Linked DNA regions of Oryctolagus cuniculus. The protein of the gene in region 1 interacts with the protein of each later gene in a pairwise test. Links are inferred from orthologs where the notes say so. Each region holds a gene or a part of one and is shown on either strand. Other genes may lie near its edges.

Evidence for each region. The genes of interacting proteins can lie anywhere in the genome.
Region 2: the proteins of ARRB2 (region 1) and AGTR1 interact in a two-hybrid assay, tested with the Homo sapiens proteins (2 studies listed by BioGRID and IntAct, with this or other methods). The link is inferred for Oryctolagus cuniculus from reciprocal best matches to the Homo sapiens genes ARRB2 and AGTR1.

The regions. Positions count from the first base shown.
Region 1 is NC_091448.1:51,498,804-51,501,634, forward strand, and holds the end of ARRB2 (beta-arrestin-2), read right to left. Parts: intron 2,721-2,831; coding exon 2,583-2,720; intron 1,948-2,582; coding exon 1,864-1,947; intron 1,754-1,863; coding exon 1,674-1,753; intron 1,575-1,673; coding exon 1,520-1,574; intron 1,033-1,519; coding exon 939-1,032; 3' UTR 501-938; downstream 1-500. UniProt on the Homo sapiens protein: Functions in regulating agonist-mediated G-protein coupled receptor (GPCR) signaling by mediating both receptor desensitization and resensitization processes.
Region 2 is NC_091435.1:132,774,669-132,778,913, reverse strand, and holds the start of AGTR1 (type-1 angiotensin II receptor), read left to right. Parts: upstream 1-1,445; 5' UTR 1,446-1,907; intron 1,908-4,245. UniProt on the Homo sapiens protein: Receptor for angiotensin II, a vasoconstricting peptide, which acts as a key regulator of blood pressure and sodium retention by the kidney.

The sequences.
Region 1 (2,831 bases):
TCACAGGAGCTGCTGTCCCTGGGACTTGGGCCCAGGGCAGCCTTACTCTCGGCTGCCTGAAGCCTTGGCTTCTGTACTAGAATGGAAGTCCCAGACTCCACGGCGGGGTCACGTGGCCTCTGGCTGGGTGAGACCTGCAGATGTGGTCCCAGTAAGCCCCAGGAATGGGCTGGCCCAGCGAGCAGATGGAGTGGAAGCGAACACGGTCATGCATTGTCGGCTGCCCTGCCCAGCTCTCGCAGCCCCTGGTCGGCAGGGCAGTTACTTATTATTTCCCCTGTAAAATGACTAAGTTTACTTTGTGGCTTTACCAAGCAATACACTTGCGTTTGGACGGACCAGATCGAGTCTCATTGTTTACCTTGGAACACAGGCTCAGCACAGTCATTCACTAAATACTTACTGAGAGGCCGTGCGTCGGGTGCCCTGGGGGTGCAGGAAGCGCCCAGATGAGCATGCCAGACGCGCTTTATCCAAGGCAGAAACACACACATGTACACTTGTGCCTATTAAAAGGTTTATTTGCTTCTTTATGCTCAAGAAACAAAGCGACAGCCTCGCCAGCCCCTGCCCCCACCCCAGGGTCTTGTTTTGGAGGCACGGGAGGCAGAGTGACGGGAGGGGAGGGGCGTGTTGGTGTGAGGCCGAGTGCGGGAGTTCTTTCTCCCCCTTCCCCTCCTATCACTTCTCTGTTCAGTGCCCTCCCTCTGAAAGATGTAGGGATGAACTCAGCCTGCTACCCGTGGAGGGCTGGGGAAGCAGAGCTGTGAAAAATTAATGCCCACTTTGAACAGGAGATGGGTCCAGTGCGTATCTTGGGTGGGGGGATAGGGAGAGGGGGTTGGGGATGGTTGAGGAATGCTGGATGGAGGGGAAGGGAAGAGAGGCCGGGCCACCCTGCCCCCGCGACAGTGGGGGTCTTGGTCCAGCCCTTCTTCCTAGCAGAACTGGTCATCGTAGTCATCATCCTTCATCCCTTTCAGCCGAAGCCTGGCAAAGTCCTCAAACACGATGTCGTCATCAGTGGCATAGCTTGGCGGGAGAGAGGGGGACACGGAGTGAGGCCACGACACTGCCCTCAGCACAGGGCAGTTTTAGAACAGGCATGGGACCCATGGGACCAGCGGGGTTCGCAGGAAGGGACAAGGAGGGCAGTGAGAGGCAGCCGCACAAGGCTCAGTCATCTTAGCATGATGCTTCAGACTCCCTCCCGCCAAAACATGAAAAAAACTTGAACCAGAGCTCATCTGGGTTGCTGGCATTGTTGTCAACAGCTTAACCTGCTGTGTCACAGTGCCGGTCCCAAATAAATGAGATTTTAATAAAATACTATATTAGGGGCCAGCATGGTAGCATAGCAAGTAAAGCTGCCGCTTGTGATGTTGGCATCCTAAATGGGCACTGGTTTGTGTCCCGGCTGCTCCACTTCCAATCCTACTCTCTGCAGTGGGAGATGGCCATCCTAGGTTAGCTGTCTAGAGGGGGTCAGTGTGAAAGGGGGTGGGGATGAGTTTCTTACTTGGTATCAAATTCGATGAGGTTGGTATCCACAGGGACATCTGTTTCGGGAACCACTGAGGCAAGGGGGAGACGGGGAGGTGAGTGGGTGCTGGCAGGACCCATTTTCCCCACTGGCCCTCCTTCTGGAGGCTTGGGGTACATGGTGTGCTCACCTGACTGGGGTCTGGGCAGGGTGATGTGGTCGGGGGGCTTGGGGTGCATCAGGACAAAAGGCAGCTCCACAGAGACATCCCTGCCAGGGGGTGGGGGGGACCATGACAGTGAAAACGATGACAGCGATGCCGATGCCACAGAGCCACAGCACGCCGTCCCTGCCCCTCCCAGGGCTCCCCCGCCACTCACCCGCCTCGAGACACCACCAGCTTCACCTTGACCCTGTAGGACACCAGGATCCCCAGCACCTCCTTGTTGGCACCCTCCTTCACACTGCAATTGGGGACCCGAGACTTGGGTCACGGCCCGTTGCCCCATCTCCTGGCCCCACCTTAGGATGCCTCCAGGATCTGGGCAGGACTACAAACTCGCAACATCCACAGGCCAGACCACACCCAGCATCCACCTGCGCGAGCCCTCCTGTGGCTTGCTCTCTCTGTCAGAGACAGAGTCCGTCGGACCTAACAGCCCGGCACAGTCTCGCTCTCCATCAGCCCCTCCTCCTCCTCCTCTCCTTGCAGCTCCTTCGAACCCTGCTGGCCCGCCAGCTTGCTGTGTGTGCAAAGGCGCCAGTGGGGCTGAGCTCCAGCCCGTGGTGATGCTGGGGACTCCAGGCTGCCCCCGCCCAGTGGTGCCAGGGTGCCTCGCAGTGGCTGATACACCTGCCCAGTTCTGCTTCCAAGTCTGGGCCTGCACTTTTCCTCCCCTGCTGCCTCTGGTCTTTATTCAAAAGTTACCTGTTAGGAGGCCTTCCTAGCCCAAATGATCACACCCTGCCCCTCCACGCTTTCTATCTCCCTCTGCCTGGCTGTTCATGCTTGTCAGGAAGCCTCCGCCTAGAACAGCAGAGACCCGGCTGGTCACCGTCCTGGCCTGCAGGGGGCGCCCCTCCCGCGTCCTGCACTCACATGGTGCTGGAGGCCAGGTTGGTGTCCTCATGCTTGAGCTTCCCGTCCAGGGCGAGGCCACGTTTCTCCCGGTTGTCACTAAGCAGCGGGGTGATGGTGTACACCTTACAGAACGTGGAACTGGGAGACACCTGGTCGCTGTGAGCGGGGTGAGGGCCAGAGAGGAGACTCTTGGAGGGCCAGGCTGGGGCAAAGCGCTACCTCCTAGCCCCAGGCAGCATCTCCCGGTCACTTCCCTTTGGGCACAGG
Region 2 (4,245 bases), on another chromosome or scaffold:
CAGGGTAAACTTGCTAATTTCTGCCATAAAAAAAAGCTTACTAGGATTTTAATAGAGACTGTATTTAATTGAAGATAATTCAAGGATTAAGGTCATTTTAACTATAATAAATATTCTAATCCAGGAGCACAAAATATTCCATTTATTTATGTCTAACTTACTTCATTTCAACAATTAGGGGGTTAAGAGTACAAGTTTTACACCTTTTTTATTAAATTTCCTTAAGTATTTCATTCCTTTGATTTATAGTAAATGGAATTATTTTCTGTACTTCATTTTTTTTTTATTGTCTATTGCTACAGAAATACAGTTGAGCCCCTGCCACCCACATGATTGACTCCAATGGAGCTCCAGGTTCCTGGCTTTGCTTGGCCCTGCCCTGGCCCTTGTGGACATTTGAGGAATTAACCAATGGATGGAAGGGCTGTTTCTCTCTCTGTCTCACCCTCTCTCTGTCACTCTGCCTTTCAAATAAGTAAATAAATCTTTTTTAAAAATGCAAGTGATTTTTGTATATTGATCTTGTATTATGAAGCTTACTAAACTCATTGATTAGCTCTAATAGCTTTTTACTTAACGTGTTAGGGTTTTCGAAATAGAAGATCATGTCATCTACAAATAGAAATGGTTTTACAGCCTTTCTAATCTGATGTCATTATTTATTTGCTTGTTTGTTTGTTTATTTTTTACCCTTGATCAATTGCCCTGACTGGAACCTCTAGTACAAAGTTGAATAGAAGTGGGAGACCGAGCCTGCTTGTCTTGTCCCTGATCTTAGACAGTAAGCTTCAACAGTAAGTATAATGCTAGGGAGCTTTTCATAGACTTTACTGTTTGAAGAAGTTGCTTTCTACTCCTAGTTTTTTGAGTGTATTTATCATGAAAGAATGTTGGATTTTTCAAATGCTTTTAATTTATTAAGATGACCCAGTGAGCTTTGTCTTTTATTCTGTTGACATGGTTAAATACATTAATTGATTTTTGGTAAACTACTCATGCTTTCCTAGGATAAATCTCACTTGATGGTCATGTATGAATTACAAGATTTGATTTGCTAGCATTTTGTTGAGAATTGCTATTTATATTCATAACAGCCTGCAGTTTGTTTGTAGCGTCTTCATCTGGTGTTGGTACAGGCGTAATACTGATCTCATAGCATCAACTGGCAAGTGTTCCTTGCTCTTCTTTCCTTTCTTTTTTCTGAATAGCTTATGAAGACTTGATATTAAGTCTTCCTTCAATATTTTGTCATCTTTTGTTTTATTACTTTATTTATCTTCAAAATGTAACTCAGCAGTTCCAGCAGAGGAAACGAATGCCCACGCTTTCATTTTACAACCCTGCGTGTTAACTGTGATCCTTAACTCACACGGATACTGTCAAAGCTGGAGCCACTCACAGGAAACAGAAGTTCCTAACTCGCCCTTAAAAGTTTTCCAAGTTATAGAGAGACAGAGAGAGAGGGAGAACATTAGGCTCTGGGAATCGATGCTTCGCAATCCCGGGTTGCCTCCCTCTTCGCTGCCCCTCTCCAGGCAGGGCTCCGGGCCAGGTGAGCGCGAGTCTGATAGGCGACGAGGGACAACTGTGGCATCATCCCGGCTGCCGCCAGTTTCTGGAGAGGGAGGGGTTGGGCCTGGAGGGTCTCCCGGGGCGGGGCGGAGGAGGCGGGAATGCAAAACAGAGCCTCCTCCCTGGAACACAGCAACGCCCCTGGCTATAAATTGGGAGTCGCGTAGCCGCCGGAGATTCCAGCGCCTGACAGCCAAGACCCCGGGCAGCGGTGAGTGGCAGCAACGCCGGGAAGGGTGCTAGCAGCGGAGCCCGACCCGCGGCCGAGATCCATGGGGAGCGGCTGCCGCCGAGGCGGGTCGTGAGGGCGCGCAGCCCGCTGGCGGCCGGACCTGGTGAGTCCGCGGGGCCGCTCGACGGGCTTGGGGACCGCGAGGGCGGGCGTCGTGAGTTTCGTGTGCCGGGGACCCAGCCTCCGCGGTCAGCGGCCACCCTGGAGCTGGCCGCCCTTCTCCAAAGCAGGTGATGGGCTTCTGGGATGGGAGGAAACAGCCCCAAAAATTTCACTCCGTTTTGCTCCAACTCCCTCGGGGCACAGGCGAGAAATGTGCAGACGTGGGATGCAGTCTAGCCAACTTTCCATGGCGGCTTTCTGTTAACTCGCGTCTTTTAACGTGATCTGAGTGGCAAGCCCCTATACCTCCGTGGGGTGTCCCTTTCCGGGCTGGGGGACGTCGTCCCCGCCCCCAGACCCCGGGAAATCATTTGGTCTGTCTGGCCCTGCCAAGGCAACTGCAGGTGGAACTCGAAACGCAATACATCTTAGAGCAGGCTACTTTTTAAGTTGATAATTTTGCATGGCCCTTGAATGATTTTATACTTATCTCAATGACCCGTGGCAAAAAAAGAAAATAATAATAATAAATAAAAGAGTTGTGCTACTTTTGAGATGAAGTGAAGAGTGTCCCCAGCCGCCTCATCTGCTTTGGGGGAACAGTCCCCGCATCACTCACGGCCCCTTCTTCCTCTCTCCCTGCACACCGGGGGAGTCCATGGCACAGGACACAGCTCCCGCCCGCCCTTGCGTATTACCATGGTGTCCTCTGTTACATCCAGCCCGGGAGGGGAAAAAAGCAAGGCGCCTCGCAGCCCAGTCCTTGTAGCCTGGGCCTGTGCACATTTGTAACGGAGGCAAGGTTTTGGGCAAAGGTCTTTTGCTTTCAAGACTGGCCAGAGCCCCGTGTTTGCCAGTTCTCTTAAATGTCTCCTGTATGGGCCTCCCCTGGTCTCCAGGAGAACTCAACAGATCTCCCCACAAATGCCTCTCCTGCCCAGTTTGTCCTGGGGCAATGGTTAGAGACAGTGGAGCGCGTGGAAGGCTCTTTCTTTGCCTACTGTCTGCTGATGGCCTCTTTCAGCATCACAGCCCCACTGCTGCCATTTCTTCCCAGTGAGAGTGAATGCTCACTCTCTTTTGGATCACATTTGGGGCTTGGCTGTGTTTATTTCCTGTGTCATTCTGGGAAGAGAAAGTTAACAGGGAGGCAAAGCTCACAGCCTCCTCTTGTGTTTGCTAACTTTTGTTGAGCAACTGTTGTCTCCCGAAGGTACTTCATGCCCAACATTTGTCACCACCTGAGCGTCGTGGGCCCCCAAATGTTTATTCCCCTTAGCATAAGCTTTCACACCTTGAGAATCAAGAAGGAAGGAGGGAAGGAAGGAAGGAAGGAAGGAAGGAAGGAAGGAAGGAAGGAAGGAAGGAAGGAAGGAAGGAAGGAAGGAAGGAAAGAAGGAAAACAAACCTGGTCAAGGCTCCTGTCTCTTTTCATGGTCCCCTAGCTTTATGTGTGGATAATCTCTCCTCGGGCTATGATGGTTTCCCAGCACCCTTCTCTTCTTCCCCACAACACCCTTCCTGACAGCAGTTCATGGGCACAGAAGCAATGGGAGAAGGGAATGGAGACTTCCATGTAACAAGCTGTGTGATATTAGAGGTGTTACTTAGCAACTCTAAACCTAAGATTTCTGCCCCCACAAGGTCCCCTCCAGGGATATTCTTGGATTCCTTTTGTTTCCTGGTTATATTTTTAAAAATAAAAGTCTAATATAATTATCCTGTTAGCTTATGCTTTAAGTCTTCAAAACGTTCAAACTATCCTGCTAAATGATCTGCCCAGGACAAACATGGAGCTTTCCCATGATGGCGTCAGGTGTCCACCCCCCAGATCATAGCTGATAGTTTCTGTAACCTGATTCAAGGCCCCCGGAGTAGCCCCAAGTTTAAAGGTCTCAACATCTGTTCAACTTTCATAATGATTAGTTCCAAGTCTCTTATGTCCTCTGTCTTCCCCATTTGTTCCTGAATTCATTGTTCTTTGTTCTCATCATGAGGCCTTAATTTCTGGTTCTGCTTTCTTTACTCTTAAACTGAATATCCATCTCAGGAAAAAAAAAAAAAAACTGCTTTTCTGCCACTGGTACCACTGATGTTGCTGGAAAACTAGTCTTTCCTGAGATTTACAAACATCTTTCAGTCCCTGTTGCTGCAGCAGCACTCCTGGGCTTAAATCTTTCCCCTCTCTCTTTTCCTAGGCAGTATTCCAAAAAAGTCCATTTTGTGGATTGCTCAGATTTTGTGTTTTTTGTTTTTCTTCCTTCTTGTTTGGTTTCAGAATTGTGGGGAGAGGGGTGTAATTTGGTTTGGTTTGGTTTTGCTACTGCTATTACTTTCTA